3 linked regions of the Caenorhabditis elegans genome follow. The protein of the gene in region 3 purifies or fractionates together with the protein of the main gene of each other region. This does not show direct contact. Each region holds a gene or a part of one and is shown on either strand. Other genes may lie near its edges. The genes, in order: kat-1, immt-1 and R07E4.3.

The links.
Region 1: the proteins of R07E4.3 (region 3) and kat-1 fractionate together in Caenorhabditis elegans (co-fractionation; one large-scale study listed by BioGRID). This does not show direct contact.
Region 2: the proteins of R07E4.3 (region 3) and immt-1 fractionate together in Caenorhabditis elegans (co-fractionation; one large-scale study listed by BioGRID). This does not show direct contact.

Annotation. Positions count from the first base shown.
Region 1 is NC_003280.10:7,072,227-7,079,195, forward strand, and holds kat-1 (Acetyl-CoA acetyltransferase homolog, mitochondrial), read left to right. Parts: upstream 1-1,587; 5' UTR 1,588-1,588; coding exon 1,589-1,798; intron 1,799-1,900; coding exon 1,901-2,164; intron 2,165-2,260; coding exon 2,261-2,413; intron 2,414-2,463; coding exon 2,464-2,599; intron 2,600-2,648; coding exon 2,649-2,988; intron 2,989-3,062; coding exon 3,063-3,183; 3' UTR 3,184-3,285; downstream 3,286-6,969. Other genes in the region: kars-1 (Lysine--tRNA ligase), read right to left, coding at 12-115; T02G5.7 (Acetyl-CoA C-acetyltransferase), read left to right, coding at 3,401-3,530, 3,580-4,127, 4,173-4,546, 4,718-4,838.
Region 2 is NC_003284.9:2,680,227-2,689,933, reverse strand, and holds immt-1 (MICOS complex subunit MIC60-1), read left to right. Parts: upstream 1-2,749; 5' UTR 2,750-2,776; coding exon 2,777-2,794; exon of another isoform or gene 2,795-2,858; coding exon 2,859-2,947; intron 2,948-2,993; coding exon 2,994-3,161; intron 3,162-3,213; coding exon 3,214-3,422; intron 3,423-3,467; coding exon 3,468-3,715; intron 3,716-4,183; coding exon 4,184-4,303; intron 4,304-4,353; coding exon 4,354-4,467; intron 4,468-4,896; coding exon 4,897-5,121; intron 5,122-5,188; coding exon 5,189-5,572; intron 5,573-5,658; coding exon 5,659-5,925; intron 5,926-6,608; coding exon 6,609-6,806; 3' UTR 6,807-7,180; downstream 7,181-9,707. Other genes in the region: T14G11.1 (Membrane-associated protein), read right to left, coding at 665-797, 846-941; ser-7 (G-protein coupled receptors family 1 profile domain-containing protein), read right to left, coding at 7,787-7,826, 8,090-8,128, 8,985-9,122.
Region 3 is NC_003284.9:5,949,981-5,955,498, forward strand, and holds R07E4.3 (Cytochrome b-c1 complex subunit 8), read left to right. Parts: upstream 1-3,477; coding exon 3,478-3,750; downstream 3,751-5,518. Other genes in the region: R07E4.5 (VWFA domain-containing protein), read right to left, coding at 1-161, 222-348, 823-1,979, 2,033-2,384, 2,798-2,983, 3,029-3,190.

The sequences.
Region 1 (6,969 bases), on a different chromosome or scaffold from region 3:
CGTCGACTAACCGAGTGTTTTGGCTCAGAAAAACTGACGTCCCGAAAAATGAAGACGACCTACGTCGCAAGAATGAAACAGCCGATCGGCTCAACATCGAATGAGACACGATCATCATTTTTCTCACTTACTTCTTACTCAATTTGGCCTCTGGCTCGCTCATTGCCCTGTGACAGTGCTTGAAAGTGGCTGAAAAATAATAATCAATTAATTTAAGAAAAATTGCATGGAATTATGGAAATAAAGCAGAAAACGGAACAATTCAACTCATGTTTTTAGAAAATCCTAAAACTAAAGCGAAATATCTCAGTCTGAAGATTAGGGAAATTAAGACACACTTGACGCATTTTTATTGTTGTCTCAGATAAGTTTGTATCGGAATTATGGACAAAAAGCGAAAAATCTAAATGAAAATGAGCTGAAAACATCTCAAAATGCATTTTAAAATGCTCAATTCCTCCCAAATTTTGTAGCGTTCGGACATTGGCTTTAGAGCGCGTTTGTATTTAATGAGGAAACGGAAAACGGAGGAAAGAAATTTAGAGATTCGATGGTAGTTTTTGGAAGGCTATCTTTATTATTTAACTCAAAAAGTTATTCAAAGCTTTAAAATAATATTTTCAATATTTTAAGCAAAGTTTTTATTAACGCATTCAATGGATAAAACGCGCATGAATGAAGCAGCATTTCTACGGAATACATTTCTCCAGTGTCGGTAGTGTCTCCAATTTAGAACTTTCCAAAGTTCATTCAACCATAAGCTAGTAATTTAATTTTTGTTTTGTTTTATTTATAAAGCACAAAGCTTATCAGAGTTGCGTTTTCTTGTTTAATCTGATGGAAAGTGTTGCAATATTTGTTGTGAAATCATTTGTTTTAGTTAAAAAAATATCAGTAAGAAAACTGATTATTCGAAATGGAGCATTTTAAAATTGTTAGGCGAATATTGAATTGTTGATTAAAATATATATCAAACTTTTAAAAATCGCGTTTGATGTTCATAATTTTTAGGCTGTAAATCTAATTTATGATTATCTCCCCTATTGTAGCACTTTAGGTGTTAGAAAATGGCAGTTCAGAGACAGTTCAACGTTTTTGCATCGAAATGTTGTGTAATGATAGTTTATATTGTCATCATCATTTGATCTTAGATATATGAACATTGCTCTCACTCTCTTTCTTTACTGTCTCCAGTGTGATGTCACAGAAGAACAGTTGACTTTCAATTGCACGTGGGAACTCTTGAAAAGCAAGTGCAACTCCTGTATGAAAGAATCAAGGAGCTCCTAGGAGTATCGAAACCGCCAAAGTTCACAGCTACACGTAACTAATCTCAATTCTTTTATGAGAACGACAAAACCTTATTAGCACTACTTTTGACTAGAAAATCTATATCTCTCTTTCCTTCTTTTTTTTTACAGAAAGTGCAATTTCGCTCCACCGCCGTACTAGCTTTTCTATTTAACCATCATAATCTTTCCTTTCTTCTGTTCTGTCTCTCATTCATCTCGATCCGAACGAATTTCTTCATTCTCTTATCTTATTTTCAAAAACAAGTTGTGTCGAGTCAATTCTTTTTTTTTTCAGAATGTTGTCATCGTCTGGACACGCAATTCGCCGCGGAATCACCACATCTGCTGCACTATCAAACAAACATGCTTTCATCGTCGGAGCCGCCCGTACACCTATTGGATCATTTCGTTCTTCTCTCTCTTCGGTAACTGCTCCAGAGCTCGCCTCGGTTGCCATCAAAGCAGCATTGGAGCGTGGAGCAGTGAAGCCGAGTTCAATTCAGGAGGCGAGTGTGTTCTTTGTTTGCATTTTTCTATACTAGTAATATCTGAAATTCTATATCACTTCCAAAAACTACCGATTTAATCTTAAAATGCCTCAATTTCAGGTGTTCCTTGGTCAAGTCTGTCAAGCAAATGCTGGTCAAGCTCCCGCTCGTCAAGCAGCTCTTGGAGCCGGACTCGATCTTTCGGTTGCTGTTACCACCGTCAATAAAGTGTGCTCTTCTGGGCTGAAAGCAATCATTCTTGCTGCCCAGCAAATTCAAACCGGTCATCAAGATTTTGCCATTGGCGGAGGAATGGAGAGCATGTCACAAGTACCATTTTATGTTCAAAGAGGAGAGATCCCATATGGTGGATTTCAAGTGATTGTGAGTTTAATTTATTTTTCTAAAAAATATTAAATTGTCTAAAAATAGTCTTTAAACTTCTTTAAAAGAAATCAATGCTCACATTTTCTTATTCAGGATGGAATCGTCAAAGACGGACTGACCGATGCTTATGATAAAGTTCACATGGGAAACTGCGGAGAGAAGACTTCAAAAGAAATGGGAATTACACGTAAAGACCAAGACGAATATGCTATCAACAGCTACAAAAAGTCAGCTAAAGCATGGGAGGTTTGTCAACTGATTGCTCTTTGTGCGTTTTATGATTCCATGTTGTTTAGAATGGAAATATCGGACCAGAAGTGGTGCCAGTGAACGTCAAATCAAAGAAGGGAGTCACGATTGTTGATAAAGATGAAGAGTTCACAAAAGTCAATTTCGACAAGTTCACCTCGCTGAGAACTGTTTTCCAGAAAGGTTTGTACTATTCTTATCGTGAAAATTGAAATCAACATAATATATTAAGACGGAACTATCACTGCTGCTAATGCTTCAACATTGAACGACGGTGCAGCTGCTGTCATTGTTGCCTCACAGGAAGCAGTTTCCGAGCAAAGCTTAAAGCCTCTGGCCCGAATTTTGGCTTATGGAGATGCCGCCACGCACCCACTCGATTTCGCTGTAGCACCAACTTTGATGTTCCCAAAAATTCTTGAAAGAGCAGGAGTGAAGCAATCAGATGTTGCTCAATGGGAAGTTAATGAAGCCTTCTCATGTGTTCCCCTTGCTTTCATCAAAAAACTAGGAGTCGATCCATCCCTTGTGAACCCACATGGAGGAGCTGTTTCAATTGGTCACCCCATCGGGTATGTTGCCATATCAGTTGACCGTTCTTTCCGCATTCTTATCGTAAATTTGTTATCGATTATTTTTCTTTCAGAATGTCCGGAGCCCGCCTCATCACTCATCTTGTGCACACACTCAAAAGTGGCCAAATCGGAGTTGCTGCCATTTGCAATGGAGGTGGTGGCTCAAGTGGAATGGTTATCCAGAAATTATAGATTTATAATTTAACTTTTTTCGTTTAAAGTTTGTTACCTTTTTTCACGATTAGCTTGTATTTATGTATTTTTCGCTCATATCGAAACTCCGGTAAATAGATTCATTTATTATTTTGATTATCTACTTCTCTTTCATTGGTTTCAAACCAATTTCAGTTATCTTTTTTTATTCGTATGCGATTTTTCTAATAATCCAAAGTTCAGACAGTCTATCGCAATGTCGGATAAAAAAGTTTTCATTCTGAGTGGAGCTCGCACTCCCATCGGAGCTTACCGAGGATCTTTCGCTAACTTTGGCGCAGTTGAGCTCGGAACGGTCGCTGCAAAGGCAGCAATTGAACGATCAGGTTAAATTACTGATAATGAAATTTTGAAACAAATATTAAATATTTTTAGGAGTTGCTCCGGAGAAAATCGAAGAAGTAATTGGTGGATGCGTACTTCCGGCCGGTCTAGGACAAAATGTGACCCGACAGATCTCTTTGTCGGCTGGTCTTCCAGTAACAACGCAAGCTGTTACGGTGAACAAGGTTTGCTCTTCTTCGATGAAAGCCTTGGTGACAGCAGCTGTGGAAATCAAAGCAGGATATTATGACACTATTCTTGTTGTTGGAACTGAAAATATGAGTCAAGTTCCATTTTACGTGCCGAGAGGAGAAATTCCATTTGGAGGAATCCAGATGACAGATGGAATCTCGAAGGATGGACTTGAAGATATTAAAGAGAAAGGTCCAATGGGATTATGTGCTGAGAAGACTGTAAAAGATTATGGAATTACTAGAGAAGAACAAGATGCATATGCTATTGAAAGTTATAAAAAAGCTTCAAATGCATGGAGTTCTGAAAAGTTTTCGGAAGAAGTGGTACCAGTTAGTGTTAAGACTTCGAGATCGGAAGTAGTGATCACTGAAGATGAGGAGTATAAGAAACTGATCGAGTCAAAGGTATGCAGAAAGAAAATGTTTATCAAAAATATTAAACTTATTTAGGTTTCCTCTTTGAAACCAGTCTTCGTTCGTGACGGCACTGGAACCATCACACCGGCCAATGCATCTTCGCTTAATGATGGAGCTGTCGCAACTGTCGTTGTCGGAGAGAATGCTCTTCCACAAGGAGCTCATCCACTTGCTGAACTCGTGGCATTTGCTGAAGCTGGAAGAGCTCCCATTGATTTCACCGTGGCACCAGTGGACGCCGTTCGTCTTCTTCTCAAAAAAAGCGGGCTCCAAGTTTCAGACATTGCATTGTGGGAGCTCAACGAAGCATTTGCCGTCACTGTTCTTGCTTTCATCAAAGAACTTAATATTGAGCCAAGTGTTGTTAATGTAAAAGGAGGTGCAGTAGCGATTGGGCATCCACTTGGGTAAGTTTTTTTGTTGATTCAAACTTCAGTGAGCGTTTTCGGAAAAATTAGAATGTGTACAGAGAAAATTCTGATAGCAAAAAAACATTCTAAAACACAAAAACAAAACATACAAATTTTAAAGTAAACTTTAAGTCCGAACAAACCTATATTAATTTTAATAATTTTCAGAATGTCTGGTCTCCGAATCGTCAACTCCCTTGCATATTCTTTAGCTCCAGGACAGCTCGGTGTAGCTGCAATTTGCAACGGAGGAGGAGAAGCCACAGCAGTGCTCATCAAAAAACTGTAATATGAACCTCTTGCCTAAATGTTTTCTGGTCTTCTATTCATCATTCCTTGATTCACTTTTACAACAAATTTCGATTACGTATTTATAAATAGTTAAGGTTCTTGTCACATAAATGTTTATTCTCAAATGGTGCATACGTGTTATTGATTGGGAAATGAATTAAGGTTAATATGTACATTATCAGGAATGGTTTTGAGCCATCTCAAAAGAGATATACTGGAAAAATCGGAAAAGCATTTTTCTTTTGAGATATATCATTCATTCACGTCTTCAAGGCAAAACATATAAGGGGAGATCGTATACAAATAATCACAGGGAAGAATTGGTGGATGATAAAATGATCCCATAAACCATTATTAGTTTGAGAGATCAAGTTGGGGGAATGAGAATATTAAGGGGGGAAGAATTTAACCGGGAAGCAAACATAGAGCGATTTAATTTTTCCGGGATTTGCTTTGCTAGGCGGTTCCAGGTGGCGAGGTTGGCTCTGAGGAATCCTTTGTTTGTTTCGCCAACAGATCTGAGCATGTAGGGGTATCTTGGAGTTACAGCTTTCTTCACCGACGATGACACATTTGGGTAGTGGAAGTTTCCAGTTATGATGTTGTGGTAGGTGCGAAGGATCTGCAAGACCCGCCTATATTGCACTGACTTCAAATTGGCTTGGGCCAAACGATCCTCGTATGAAGAATACTTTATGTTGCAGCGTTGGAAGACGAGCCTGGTGAAGAAATGAGATGAATCAATAAAGGCTATGAACGGGTAACTCAATAAAGTATCTTCCTGGACTGGGATGATTCCGAGAAAACAATCACAAACGATACGGTAATGAATAGGAATCCATTGATTTCATTTTATCTGTAATTTCAGTGTCTGACAAGAGATCGTCGTTTCGGAATTATTACAGGCCCAAATATGGCTGGAAAGTCAACATATCTGAAACAAGCTGCCCAACTAGCAATCATGGCATAGGTAGGATGCTTCATTCCAGCAAACTATGCTTCGTTGCCAAGTAACCTAAAAGTTTTGATTTGCTATTTTCTATCGTCGAATTAATTTCAGTTTTTAATCGTATCTTCTCCAGAATGGGTCATAACGACGAGTTGATCAGAAATAAGTCTGCATTTGCATCTGAAATGTCAGATGCAGCTGCAATCGTACAGTATGCCGATAAAAACTCACTTGTAGTTCTTGATGAGCTAGCACGAAGCACATCGACTGAAGAAGGAATCGCCATCACCTATGCGATTTGTGAGAAGGTTCTAAAGTTACATGTGCTTGTAAAAACAAAAAAACGAATTGTAAATTTTTATTTTCAGAGCTATACCTTCCTGGCTACACATTTTCTCGATATTGCAGCTCTCGCCAACTATTCAAATGCAATTGACAAGTGATTCTACAACTCTACAACTATTTCTTTCGAAACTTCTTTCTTTCAGTTACCACTTTCTTCCACAAATTGATGACAATTCGACGAAAAAGCACAAGTTGTTACGTGGATAATATAGAGACCATTATACGGTATGAATAATTCATTATTAGCAGAAAAAGTAAATGATAGACCGTAGAAAAGTGTGAGATGGGAAATTTGGAATCAATAAAGGCTATGAACGGGTAACTCAATAAACTATCTGTTTGTGAAAGCTTGTAGAAAATAAACGAGTTGGACCCGATATAAAAAAGTATTGAGAAATTGGATCTTCTAGAAAGAATCTTCGGATGATGCGTAGATCTTCTGAATTAATGAGGAATGCTTGTAAAATTGATAACGACTGCGCTGGAATCGGCGGTTTTCGAAATCTCGGCTGAAATCCTCATTGAAGGACAACTGGCTCGACGGCTTCATTGGGCAGTACCTGAAATGCTCACGTTAGAAATATATTGAATATACAGTGTGGGAAAGTTCTATAGGACCCCCCCTAATTTGAAGGTTTGAGGAACTTCCGAAAATTTTTTCGAAAAACTGCTAATGCCGTTCGTTTTTAAATTGAAAAAAACCTATATAAATTTTTTTCCAGAAGTTTATCTCAAAAACTGAGGTCGCGCTGGAAAAAACGTCAAAATCCAGTGTGAAACTTCTATAGGACCCCCCGTTTTTTTTCACGATTTTTACTAAAATCAACAGATTTTG
Region 2 (9,707 bases), 3.3 Mb from region 3:
ACAAATTTTCGTCACTCATAATTTTGGAAGTTGACCAAAAATATGTATTTTCTACGACTTTCACACTTTTATTTTGTATTAATTATATCTATTGAAACATTCTAACATGCGACATTGCTCTGCATTTCTTTGAAATTTCATATTTTTCCAAAAGCTTAGCAATTTGCCAACACTGTGCTTAACTTTGTTTGGAGTGTTTTATTATTTAATCGGTCGTTTTAAATCATCATAAGTATACTTAAACAAAATCCACACTGGTGCTACTCCACCTTTGAAATTTAAAACTTAAATAGACCATAAATAATTTTTTTTGATCGACGACTTCCAAAAAGTGGCAAAAATTTAGATTTTTCCAATTTTCAAAAAAAAATCATATACAATTTTGATTTTTCTAAAGAACATTTTCACTATGATACCCCATCTTTAAAAAATTTCAAATGTTTTTGATTAAGTTTAAATTTGAAGTATCATTTCACTTTCAAGATACTGTTAATCGTGTTGATTTTAACATCGCATTCCGTTTTGTCAATATTGTATTACCAGCTTTTGATTCAGTTTTAATGTAAAAGTCATTACAAGAAAATGGTTTTTTGAAAAGTTTGCACAGTCATCTGCTCTCAGCTTCTACACAATTTATTTTTTTGCAATGCTAAACAAGACTTACCAATTGCATGACAGGGTTCTGTGTTCTTCATGTAAAGTTGAGCCACCTGCAAAGCGTCGATGTCGGTTGTGCCGTTTTTTGTGCTCATATCTTCAATGAGAATCCAGTCTGTAGACATCATTGCGAAAATTGCCTGAAATATTGGAGAATACTATTATTGAAGTCATGTGCAAAAGCTTACCAGAATAGCTGCAACGGTGTGGAAAGAGGCGGCTGGAATATTGGCATCACGAAAATCCATCCTAGTGCATAATGATCCAAGCTTGGAGAAAAACATTTTCTGGAAACGTCTAAATGGGACAAAGTAAGAGTTAAATAAGAAAGTAAAGAAAAGTTGACATAGAATTTTCTGTGACCCTGCCTCGGAATATTTATTCAATGTGCCTGCTGACGAAAAAAAAACACGAAAATGAAAAGAAGCAGCGAGCCCATCGAGCCCGAGGGAAATTGAGAAAAGAAAGAGAATCAATAGCGGCGGATGAGAGGGTGCAAACCCGAGGAAAAGGCAGCCCCACTCTCACTGCCACATCGCTTCGAGACCCTCGCTTCAAACTACGGTGAATATACTCTGCGTCTCTTAAGCATTGCTGGGCATGTTAAAATTCTTGCGCTTTAATAAGTTGTGTATGGTGACTGAGAATTTGTATATTTCAAAATTCTATTTGAATGGAAAGAGTTAATTGGAAGAAAAATGAAAAAAGAAATTGAAAATCAATTATTTTAAAAATAAAATATAAGTTCTAACACTACCAATTTCAAGTACACTGGCCTAACCAAACAAATGACCTTGGCGATTTTTTTTCAACATGAAATGCCCAGATACAAACACCATTTATCAATTGTACACTGGTTTCTAATGGTTTCTACTATTTTTTTAGTGCATTATCAATTTTTAAAAATTTCCGGTAAAGTGTACATATCAGGGGTGCGCGGCAATTTCGGCAAATCTACAAAATGAGCCAAAATGAGCAAAAAGTGATATATTTTATTAAATGTTAAAAATAAAATATAGAAAAACACTTTTTTTTTAATCTAAAAGTAATGTTTTATTTAATATGAAACAACTGTAAAAATGCTCAAAAATAGTATGCAAGTTGAAAATTGCCGGAAATTATTTTCCATAATTTGTGGGATATTTTTCCGGCTCTTATTAAATTAGAGACAATTTCTAAGCAGTTTTTTATTTTTATTTTTATGAATTATATTAAAGATGTTTTCAAATAAAGCAAACATTTTTCTGAAGTTTAAGGAAATATCTGGTACTATATGCTGCACTTTTGCTGCACTTTTTTGCGTACAAATGTTGATTTCTAAATTGAAAAGTTACACAGAACAGTAAAAATTCATGTTGCATAAAATTTTAGGACGTTTATGGCACTTCAAATATCTTTAAATTTGGCCACTTTTCCAAGTCGTAGTAATCCAAAGCTGCTATTTTAATACTATAATTTTTTCCTATCGGTTTTAAATGTATTTTAATTAACAAAATTACGGTACTTCTGTAGTGTTTACAATTCTGAAAAATTAACGTTACCCTTTTTGTCGATATTAGGCTTAGGACTAAAGTTTTTTTAAGCTTAAAAATACAACCAAATTCCGCGTTTTGATTAAATAATCACTTTTAAAAGTGTTGGAAAATTTTTATGGACCAGGTGTGCGATACGGAAAAATGGCCGAAATTGGAGATTTCACTTGAAATACGTTTTTTTTTCGAAATTTTCAACCGGCAAAAACTACTTTTTGAAAATTTTTAATGAAGTTTCATTATAAAATTCGTTTATTTGAGCTCATTTTGGGTTTATGCGTTCAAAATGTCCCAAACGTTTAATGCATCGGCAATTTCCCTTTGTTTCCCTGCCACACTCTTCCAATGCCTCCCCACACAGCCATTCTTCCCGTCGTCCCGTACGCACTTACAAAAGATACACAGACATCGATTGCTGGCGCGTTTCTCGTGCATGACGCGCAACTTAATCTTCGAACACTAAACAATATGTTTATTTCTTTTTCGATTGCACTCTCTTGATTATTTTGATTTTTTCTTGATTTATATAAAATTTCGTTGTAAAATTTATTACTTTTTAGGTAAATTATTCGCTGCTCGTCGCGGAAATGTTTCGTATTGCATCGGTGAGTTTTTTTTTCATTAAAAAAATGCAATTTTTAGTTTAAATGTATAATTTTTTCATTTCAGAAGCGATCAGTCAGCCAGACGTTGAAAAGAGCCCGTCAACAATCAAATCAAGCCGCTGCTCCACCGAAGCCACCAGTTCAACCACCAAAGTAAAACATACACCAAAATCGATAATAAAAACGCGTCGTATTTCAGAAAATCCGGAGGTGGCAAAGGATTGGCTCTTGTCGGAGCAACCGTTGTTGGAGCTGGTGGTGTTGTCGGATACGCGTATGTCGACCCTGAGTTCCGTCACAAAGTCGAATCCACTGTTCCGCCAGTGAAACAAGTTTTCGACGCAGTTTTGGGAGAATCTAGCTTGCAGTAAGCTTTATTTACTAAAAAAGTGACAGTCTTAACGATAATCCTTTTTCAGGAAGACAAAACAACAGATCGGTGACCTCAAGGATGCTGTAGTGAACGCTGTCCCAAAAAAGAAGGAAGTTCTTCCTCCATTGGAGCTCGCGCCACTGCCGCCTGTCCTTCCAAGAGAGCCCACACATGTTGACCCAGTGGATGTTCGCAAAGATGTGACCCCAATGATCCCAAAACCTTCTCCAGATGTCGTCTTTGCCAAGAACCAACGTAAGATTTTTTAAGCGTAATTTTCATAACAGTTTAAAGTTACAGAACTTGAGGAGAAGCTTAAAATCGCAATTCACTCTGCTGAAGGAAAAGTGCGTTTAGCCACTGAGGCCAAGCTGAAGACCATCAATGCGATCAATGAGCATGCCAGTATTCTCAAGCAAACCGTCGATGATGCTAAGCACGCCAACTGGGAAAACGTCACTTCTGCTCTTCAAAGAGCCGAAGCTGAGGCACGCGTCGACAGTGGCCAAGAGGTGGACGGGAGAAACTACATTGATAACCTTCGCAAGGTATCTTTTGGTACAGCCTAACACCCAAAAAAAAATTTATGTTTGAAATTTTGAACCGCAATGACACAAAATTTTTAAATTTTTTGAGAAACTTCATTGCGAAATTCTTTTAATGAGCACATTTTGGTCTTACACCTTCATAATAAAATACCCAGAGTCGTTAGACCATTGGAAACTAGGACTTGACTAAACCGGACTAAATCTGTCGTCCGGTCTGCGGAAGTTCGGCTATCTAGTGCCTGTTTTTGAACTGCTACACAAGTTATTATGTGACAGGTCCTATGATTTTTGTCTTGTTGCAATACTTCGACCCTGTTTTTTTTTCAAAATTTGTAAAAAGGACCTCTTCCAAGCTCATTTACGAAAAGGAATTAAATGCAACTGAAAATAGAGACGCTTGTTTAATATTTGATTAAATGCAAATTTTTAATAATAACTATTTATTTTTCTCAATTCGGACATTTACAGATTGTGAACGATGGAAAGCGAGATTCAACTACCGCCACAAATCCGCTACTTCTGAATGCTCAAGAGACTGCTAATAAGCTTTCTCATCAGCTTGATGAGATCAACGCATTGGTCAACAAGGTATTACATGCATTGGCACTTTTACCAAAAATTGTCAAAATTGTTTTCAGTCTCGTCAAGAATCTGCAGTCCTCAATCAGTACAAGGATTTGATTGAGAAGTCTCGTCAACAGTTTGCTCTTGAGATGAAGAGCATCTTGCCAAATGTTGATATTCACGCTAAAGTGAGTGACGAAAAAAATAGAAGGAATGGAGTCCATCCTCGGTTTTTTATAAAATAATGAATTTCTGTAATAGGCTCAAATGAGCCTATGATTTTGCTAAGGTGCATTTATGAAATTTTTGTAGTCAAAAGCAAAAATTATATTTATAGTTGATATGTACTCTCGGTAAAGTCAGAAGAATACAACATACCTTTAGTACAAATAGTTACAGTACAAATATATTTGAGATCACAATTTTTACAATTTTTTATAGATGCTGACTGATTCAGGAAGATATTTCAGCTGAGGATTTGATAGGAAAGGCTTCTGTTATTTTTCACAAATTGAAAGTCGAATATCAAACGTTTAAAATTTTTGACTAAACGAAAAGCCTTTTTGACATTGTTTCCTAAAATACAAATTTGAAAGTTCACATAAATTCATTTTCAGGACAAAAATCTCAACGAAGACGAACTGAATGCATTGATCGCTCACGCTCATCTCAAAGTTGACCAGCTTCGTTGTCAGCTTTCGGATCAGCAAGTTCGCGAGGAACTGCACATCTCAAAGGCTCTTGAAGAGCAGCGACTTGCCGATGAGCGGATCGCGTCTGAAAAATTGAGCATTGAGATGAGCCGTGTTGGCCGTCAGAATGAGTTGGAAATCGAACGAGCTGTAAGTTTGTTATCAAATTTGGGGTTAAAAGTTGTTTTTCCTCAAATATTCCACTTTTTGATTTCAGCTTGTGGAAAGCCGTTCATCATGGGAAGGTGAGCTGGAGAATCAATTGAAGCGCACCGCCTCGGCTCACTCTGAGCACTTGGAGCAAGTCATCCGGACTCAGAGACAACTCTTCGAGATTGAACAGAATCAGAAGGTAGAGGAGGCAGTTTTGCAAGAGCGCAATCTTCACAGCAAGCAAGTTGGTGCTGCGTTGAGCCGACTGGAGGGAATCGAAGAGGCTCTCGGAAGCCGAGTTGCTCTTGACAACGAAAACCGTCGCGCCAAGCAGTTCTGGATTGCGTGCCATAATTTGATTGACACTTTGAAACATGGTAACAAGGCCGGAAACAACATTGATGAGAGAAGACTTCCATTGAACGAGTCTTTGAATCTTCTCAAGGAGGTTAGCGAGTTTGTCAACGAAATCAACTTTTTTACATTTTGTTACTATTCTACATTTTCATTTTAATCTGAATTTATCGTTTTCAGGTCAATCCAGAAGACGAGTTTGTCAACGCCATCATCGACTCGTTCCCAAAACAAGCGACCACAGTTGGCACATACACTGAGCAGGATCTCAAAAACCGCTTCGAGCAACTGTACAAGATTGGTCGCAAGACTGCTTCTATCGATGAGAACGGAGGAACCTTAGGAGCCTATTTCTGGTCGTACGTCAAATCCCTGTTCCTCGTGGATATGCCACAACAGTATGGAAATTTAGATGCTATTGATGTGAACAACACTGATAACTATGAGGTGAGGATAGATTTGAGTACAGAATACATTAGAGTGGGTCATAATTATGCGGATACGTAAACAACTCTGCTCTGCAACCCCTAGGTGATTGAACATGATACATAAAATTGTATAGCTCACATATTCCATAAAAATCTGGTCATGATTCCATTTAAAAAATTTAAAAATATTTCCATCCACGTTGCTCCTGACTCTTAGAAATTTTGAGGTTGGATTTTTGGCAGCAGATTAGCAGATCACTTTTGGCGTTTTCCACTGTTTTTTTTTTAGAATCCGGCAGAAATTCCGTACTTTTATAAGAATACTCCAGATTGTGAGATACGCTCGTATGACTTCGTGGTTGATTAGTAGTCATGTTAAATATCATTAAAAATATGTCAGCTTTAAGTAACGTAATGAACCCACGTTTAAAAACTGTCAGGTTTGTAAAAATCGGGCTTTTGTCTTCATAACTCGGGTCTCTATAAATATGACCCCGTTGTGAAAAATAAATTTGATTCGAATGGCAACATTCTTATTCCGATCAAAAAAATCAAAATTCTTATCTCATAATTTTTATTAAAATGCTTGTTCTTTATTCCGAGAGCTTCCCAGTCCCGTACGATGTCCGTACAAAAAATATCAAGTTTTTTTAAAATTAGAATTCAAACGTTTTGTAAGACTAGTGAAACATTTTTGTTCAGATCCTTTCCCGCGCCAAGCAGTACGTACACAATGGTGATCTCGATAAGGCGATTCGCGTTGTTCAACTTTTGAAGGGTCAGCCAGCTCATCTTGCTCGTGACTGGATCGTCGACACCCGCTCCTACCTCGAGTCTCGCCTTCTCGCCCAGCTTCTTGTGGCTCACGCCGCCGTCTCCTCGATTCGCTCAACTTATTAGAACAATTGATTGTCTTGCGTCACCGTTTTTTAAAATTGTGTTCTACTGGTTTTCACTACACTCATTTTATTTTTCTCTATTTCTCACCCTATTTAAAACGATCCAAATGTTTTAAAAACGTTTTGCTGCTAGTAGTATTGTGTGTGTGTCTTTTAGAAACCAATTTCTTGTTGGTAGTTTATAGTAGATGGGTGTGTGCACATTTTCTCCCCGTTTTTTTTTCCAAACTCTCGCCGTCAATTTTTTCCAAGTTTGTGTAGTTTTTCGAACCGTCGATGTATTGAATAAATGTGAAAATTTTACAATTTTTTACCAGAAATAAGTATGATTTGTAGAAGTTTGAGACAAACAAATAAAGAATCTCTAGAAGTGCAGTTGCGGCAGTTGGGGAAATTGTTAAAAGTCACACTTATGGTGTCAAAAGGAAATTCATTTGTTTTTATACAATTTTTAGACATCGGGTGGTTAACAAATTGATCCAAAAGACCGAATTTACTAATGAGATATTTTAAATGATATCCAAAAAAATTTTTGAGGTTTAAAAAAAATAAAATTTCAAATTTGAACAATTTATCCGTCTATGTAGTTGCGATTTTACAAAAAAAATTACATTTTTGTCGTAATTTCAAACTGCCGAAACAATTTTTTTTCTAGTCAAAGTTTTGGCGAATTGCTATACTTTTCAAAACAATATGTAACCAACATTTTCTGTTTTGATGGACTTCCAAAATTATAGGTTGTTATACTGTCCAATACATTTATTCAGAAGTTATAAAACTTTATACAAAGTTGAGGCAATAGGTGTCACACACCTTCTGAAATGCACATAATTGCAATGCTAGAAAGCATGAGAAGCATTATACAACGGGAGAGGAAAGTCACGTAACCTTACTTGTGTACCGACAAATTGAAAATGAGAATAAATCAGATGAGAAAAAAATAGTTAATAAATTATGAAATGGTACATAATGTGTAGTGTGCTAGACGTCACTTGCTTCGTGACTGTCATTGCGTCGAGATCTGAAAATATCATACGTACAATTTTGAAACAGTGTCACGTGCAAAGAATCAAAATCATTTCACTTTAGAAGTAAAACTCATGCAAAACGTTGAATGTTTGGAAGCAAATCGCAAACCAACACTGAGAAAAAATCGCATAAAATCGCAAACTCCATGCTTTTAAAAAGAAGAAAAAGGTAACACTCGAATAGAAGAAAGAAAAGTTAAAAACGTGATGTAGTATATAACAGTTGAGATATATGGATAAGTAGGGTTATACTCACAGAAGCGGTCGATAGCTGGAAGATTGGGTTCGGTAGCGACTGTAAACGCGCAGAGTCAAAGAAATTAATAACCTGGTGTTGTGTTTGGCCGTTTGACGCGGATTCTCTATCAATAGACTGTTGTGGTGTGATTGTGAAAAGTGGCACGGATGGTGTTTTTCTAGGTTTCAAACATAATTCTGATGGAAATTCAACCCAAACAGCTTGTAAGAAAGACCATCCCACCCACATTCCTTATTAACACGGGAGACTTTTAAAAGTGGAGTTGCGCCAGTTTGATGGTTCCAAAATGACCAAATATCATAGTGAACTTGAATAATAATTTCAAAAAAACAGGGTGTATGGTGCGTTCTGCTGTGATAAAACTAATTTTTAAAAATTCACGTTTGCAGTTTTTGGATAGGTATACAAGAATGATTGAAAATTGCTCTTTACTGTATAAAAATTTCAGAAAAATGACAAATGTTTCAATAAGTTTTAGGATGGTTTCTGCACTTTGCACATGTTCTTAGAATCTGGAGTCAATTTATTATTGATTAAAATTTTACAGTTCTAAAAACTTTTAACTAATTTAAGTTTATGATATACTCCTAACACAGCTAATTTTCAGCGCCAACTTTTGGGAAAAAGTCAATTTAATTTTTGGAATCCGGAGATCCTAAGGTAGGCTATTTTTTTTATCTTAGACTTCCAAAAAAAAAATGGCGAAAACTGAGTAGTTACCACCATTAAAAAAAAAGTTTTTTTGAAAAAAATTGTGAGCTTTACTATGATATTTGGCCATGTTGGCAACATTTGCGAGGTTTCTAACAATCCCTTCACTGGCGCTACTCAATCTTCAATGAATGTAAACTCTGTCTCCTTGGTTTTATCCAAACCGCGCAGAAAAACTCACACAGGAGGTCCGTAGCGGCTGGTGAAGCTTTGTTGTCGCATTACAGTCTGTAAAGTAGCACAGCGACAAGCAAGCATTTCACGGAATGGTATTCGAAACTCTTTGTTGTACTTGCAGTAGATCAATGGATTTAATGTGCTGTAAACTTATCATTTAAAATGTTATTGTTAAAACATATGAACTCAAAATGTGCAAAAAATTTTTTGGCCAATTTTTAGCTAAAGTCTCTGGTTTTGACCACTTTTTCAAAATTGGAAATTTTAGCTAAAATAAGTCAATTTATTCGACACTTTGAACCACCCCATTTTGGGCCTATACGTTTAAAATATCGTTAGTCGTTTTTTTTAATTCTAATTTTTTTCTGATCACATGATCTGTGAAAAATTGAAAATTTCTCTACCAACCGACTCTCCAGTCGTTCAGCCCTGATTCCAAAGTCCCCATTAAGCTTTTTTTTGAAAAAATTTTCTAGCGTACTTTTTAATAAAGTAATTCGAGATTGTCCCATCATGTCCAAAAAAAGTTTTTTGGTGAGCACACTGGTAGTCACCAAAACTTTGATGGAGCCACTAGGCAGGAAAGATCAAATTTCTGAATATGTCAAGCAGATGCATCTTCATCAAACTTTATGGGCTCGATGATTGAAATGCGAATGGGCATATGCATGCCCCATTTTTGGTAGGCCACTTTTAATTCTCCGGGTTGATGGAAATTGTGTGGCAG
Region 3 (5,518 bases):
AAACTGTCGAGCCATTTCAGGGCTCTGACCATAAATCACCATCCGAGTCATGTTCTGGTATTCCTTCTCAAATAAAGCAGATCGGTCCTGAAGTTTTCGCAGAGCCCGGACCATTTTGTTCACATAGAATTGCATGGCTTCTGGTGAGTACCATCCGGTCACTGAAATTTTGAGAAATAATTAACAATTAGACTTTAATTTTCGGAATATCATTGACTTACGTTTGGTGTAATCATGATTTGGCTCTGGGCCGACAACTGTCTTTTCACGCTCCGTCAGCTCTTCAAAGATATCATCGTCGTTGACTATAGCTATCTGCTTTTCAAACTTTTCCCAAGTCATATCGAGCTAAAATTTATACTTTTAAGCTCAATGTTTAAGTTTATGGCCGAGTTGCACCAATGGACAAATTGTTAAAAACCACTCCTATGGTGCTAAAATTACCAAATCTCATAGTAAACTTTTTTTCAAAATTTTTTTGAAATTTTGTTGTTTTGAAAAGGGGCAATTACTCAGTGCTTGCTACGTTATCGGAAGCCGTCGATCAAAAAAATTCCCTTTGAACTTTATAGCCCACTTATGTTTCAAATATTCCCACATCATAGGACTTAAACATGCTACCGTGCTATAATTTTCCAAAAGTTACAAAAAAAACTCAGTAATTGCCATTTTCGAGTGTTAATAAAAGATTTTAAAGATTGTGTTGAAAATTTTAATTATGATATTTGGTCACTTTAGCACAATAGAAGTTGGCTTTAACAATTTTTCCATTGGTGCTACTCGAACTTTAATTTCTGTCCCAAATCGTATTCAAAATCTTACCACAATGATCTGAATATATTTCCCATAATCAAAAACATTCTCCTGTGACTGATTATCATCTGCGGCTGTTTCTTCACTCATTTCTTGCTTGATTTCTGCTGCTTTCAGCTCTGTCTGACCTTCCAAAGGAATTAACTTAACCGGCTGATCTTGATTCGTTGTCAAATCTTCCATTGGTGGTTCTTCCGGCACAACCGCATCGTCGACAATACAGCTTTCTTTCTTTACCTCCACAGGTAAAGAATCTTGTACCTTGTCTTGAGCACGAAGATCGACATCACCAACAGGAACTGCTACACGCAAATCAACATCTTGTGATCTGTAATCAACATCCTTGGGAGCTGATGGTTCACGCATATCGACGTCTTGTGTTTCGAGTGGAATTGTTGGAACTGTCGGAATGATTTTCACAGTTTGCGGGATAACGGGAACCATATCTGGAGACGCTGGACAATCCATCGGAGGACTTGCTGGAGAGTCATCTTCAGGTGCGGCAGCGGATTGAAGTTTGTCCTTCTCTTCTTCCAGTTTTTTAACAGCATGTTCTTCAAGTTTTGCTTTAAGCGTTTCTTCATCATAATAAGTCTTGTCATCTTTGTCAAATTCGCGGAGTCGAAGAATAACTGGTCTGCGTAACCCAGTGTAGCGCTCCGTTGCACATGCAACTAGGAACAATGGATCTGGTGTCCCATCTGCTGAGGCTTTTCCGTCTTCATTCTCTTTGGTTTCGGCTTCTTTGTCGTTTTTCACTTCAGAAAGTAGATCGCCATTTTTGGCGTCTTTTCCTTTCTTTGCATTTGAAGGTTCGAGGGTTTGCAATCTTCGCTTTCTCCCTCCTTTAGTCAAATTTGTTTTTTCATTTTTGACATTTTCGGCTGTAATTGGACCAGACTCTCCGTCTCCTTCGTAGCCGTTTTCATTGTTGGGAACAAGGTTTGGAAATTTTTTTTTCGGTGCTCGAGGTTTCACTGGAACAACTGGCGCAGTTGTTTCAGACTTCATGTCGTCAATTTCCTTTTTGATATCTTCATTGGATTTTTCAAGGCTTGTATCAGAACTCCGATCGTTTTCATCTTCTTTTTCCAGGAGTGCTACAGGCTTATCACCAATGATCTCTTTCAAAACACAATATGCGACTGCATTATTCACTTTCGAACCTGGAAATAGGACAGGTTAAATAATTAAAACATTTGCATATTACAGTAGTTACCTTTTTTGTCATAGCACTTGTCAATTGGAAGAAGGAAACTTCTCGTCAAAACTGAAATCGTTTCCAGTGGCTGATATGTTGATGTGCCAACAATGTCAATTTTGGTAAGTTCGTAGGGCACATTTTTTCTCACAGTACAAGGTGCAAGTTCTACTCCAAAAGAAGTCCCGAAATTGACCGTTGTGACGTAGTTCTCGGTAATCTTCTTGTGAATTGTCGCAGCTAGTTTTTTTGAAGTTCCGTGTTCAACCAGATGAACATCGCTTTTGAGTCGTTCAGAAATATTTAGTTTGATTCCAGAAAAATCGAGAAACGTCATCTTTTTGTGGTATTTGTGGAACATTTTGAGAATCTGAATTTATGATTGTTTTTTTTTTATTTCTTATTTAAAGGTAAAGTTTTATGGTGTTACAATGACTGAATATAATTTTGAAACTTTTCAAAACATTTTGGAAATTAATATTTTTGGCCAAAAAGCGGTGACAACCGAGCTTGTGCCACTCTTCGAGAAATGAAACACAAATCCCTACAATGTTGGAATATAAATATTTTCAACATGAATAACATAAAAAAGGAAATTATTATTTTTCATCGATAACTTCCAAAACAGACTGGTGAAAGCTTACTTTTCATCGCTTTTTTGAAGTTTTCCGAACACTGCCGAAATTTTTTTTAAATGATATTTAGTTATTTCAACACCAAAAGAGTGATTTTTCACAATTTCCTCTCTGGCGTTACTCCACCTTTAATGTGGTGACAACTTACTTTTTCATTAACAATAGTGGATACAATGAAAAATAACGCATTTTCATCCTCATCGGCGTCCAACGCAGTTTTCCAAAGCGAAAGAAAATCATTCTGATCTGATGGCTCAAAAATCATACTTTTCGAATCCTCAAACATCTTCAGTGCTTTTCCTTCTTCCAGTTCAATGTAATTATCACCAATGTGCTGAAAAAAGTGTAAACTTTATAAACTATTGCTTCAAAAACTCACAATATGAACTCTATCGATATAGGTCGGCTGATGATCTCCTTTTTTGCAAATTTCACGCAGAAAAATGTACGCATTCTCCATTGGTGTCGCATCACAATCGATAATTGCATGCATTTTTATACTCGCGTCGACTAAAAAGTGAATTTGGTTGGGAAACGGCATTCCTGAAAGAACAATATTCAATTTCTAAAATAGCATTTAAAAAGTAAAGAAATAAAAACCACACTTTGCAAAAAAATCTAAAAATTGGATAATAAATGAGGAAACTTAACGTATAACGACAGAGGCACCCTCCAAGGTGCACACATTTATACGGCCGGGTCTCGCAGCGTGTTCTCAATGGAGCGTCCTTGCACACCAACCAACTGAGGCGCTCGTCGCAACTGCTGTATACTTTTTCCATTGAAATTTACTTTAACTTCTTAATTTGTTTATTATTTCAGATAAAAATGAGGCCTTCAGCCGTTGCAATGGGAAAACATTTTGGAAATTTGGGAAAAATGTATGGAGAGCATAGATTTGCATTGGCTCCAAACGAACAAAAAGCTTATAAAGGATTCTTCGATCAGGCATTTGTGAGAACCTTCAAAACCTACGTTTGGGATCAATGGTACTACTACATTCCACAAACTATTGGTGCATATCTTCTCTACGATTGGGCCAAGAAGACAAATGTTGCTGCAAACCGCAAAAATCCAGCTGATTTTGCCAACGACGAATAACTTGTGGAAGAAGTTGGATTAGTTATTTCAATGTATTAATTGAAATCAACGTTGGAATTTTTTCTCAAATAAAATGTATTACTAGAATCACAATGTGTTTTTGTACACAAGCATATCAAAATATGATTTACTTTAAAACTGCAGTACAAGAAAAAAAGCTAATTATTTTGTCAGCTGATAATGTTTTCATACGTAAAAAATCAGGCGGGAGAACTGCCAAAGTTAAGCAAGGAAATACCAGACTAAAGGATCAAATGCGGTATTCTAATGTTTGATATAGTCAAATCAAACATTGCAAACATGCAAGATAGACTATTATTAGTATGTGTACGCATTAAAACAGTATAATCGGCAAGAACCTCTAATAATTCTTTCAAAAACGTTTGTAGTAGAATAATTAAACACTTGAATACATTTTAGATTTTTCAAAAACTTCAGTCAAAATTGTGGCAAGTTGCCAAATTTTCCGAAACAAAATTAGTAAACCGTAGGACGACTTCAAAAACAATTATATAAAAGAGCAAACTGAATTTTCACTACTTCGTGACTGCACATAAAACAATCGCAAACTTAAAAAATTTTTTGCTATTGTTTTTAGTCATTTCAGGAACGTGGGGAAAAATTAAAAAATATTCTCCAGAAAAAAGCAATTAGAAAAAGTCAAAGTTAATATTTTCTAAACAAAACTGTCATCCTAAAAAGATTTCAAACCACAAGTGGCAAACCACAGGTTTTGAAGCTGATCTATGCTGTCAGAAGATTTATACTTTTTTACATTGGTAACTAAAGAGATATGTAGAGCATGTATTTGCGTCTAGCAACCGTTTTGCTTGTTTTGTTGTTTCTATTCAAAAAAAAGTCTACTTCCAGACAGCTGAAAAATTAGTTACAAAATATTATCGCTGGCTGGTCAATTTTTCTTTCATTTATCTAAATTTAACTCGATTTGATCTTTCAACCTTTTATACCGCTCAAAAAATACTGTTAGTCTTTGTTTTATGGATACTTTTGACAGCAGCTTTGCCAAATATTTGATTTGTTATCTTCTGATTCGAACAAAACAAATTAAACGGAAAGCGTGAAAACCTTTGAAAGCAGATAATTGATTCATAATTCCGTAATATTCTCGAGCTTTCTTCTGTAAGGTTTTTCGATTTATTTACAGTTTCTGTCTCAGGAAATTGGCTGCTGAATTCAATTTTAAATGTTCACAATGTGGGACTTTTCATTTTCCTCTGAAAAAATGTTTCACCAACTTACACTGCAAGGATGGTGTTCTTTTTAAATATGTCCTAATCTATTCCAATCGTATTCCAATGGGTTAATATGATGTAGCACTCACTTATCGGAAATTTATTTTTTGGGTTTCTCTGAAAATTTGAACAGAAAATATGAACAATTTGTAAGAGTTTAATAGCTACCAAATTTTCAAAATTCGCGTTTTTGGCAATAGCGAGCACATTTTTGGCAATTCGAAAATTTGTCAATTATCAAGTAAACATTTTTTGAAAAGTATAAAGCACAACTCTTCTTTGGTCTGTTTAGTTGCAATTTTTAACATATTCGGCAGACTGCACTTTCTGCGATGATCAAATCTCGAAATCATTAAAAAGTGTCAATATATTTTTAAAAAATCTACAGTTATCATTTGAAAGTTTAGCAATAAAATTCCGCACAGAAAAGAACCACTCAACTTTTTCTTTGCCCATATACTCCAATTCACTAGTATTTTCTATTTCTCTACACTTTCTGCTCAATTAAAATTATT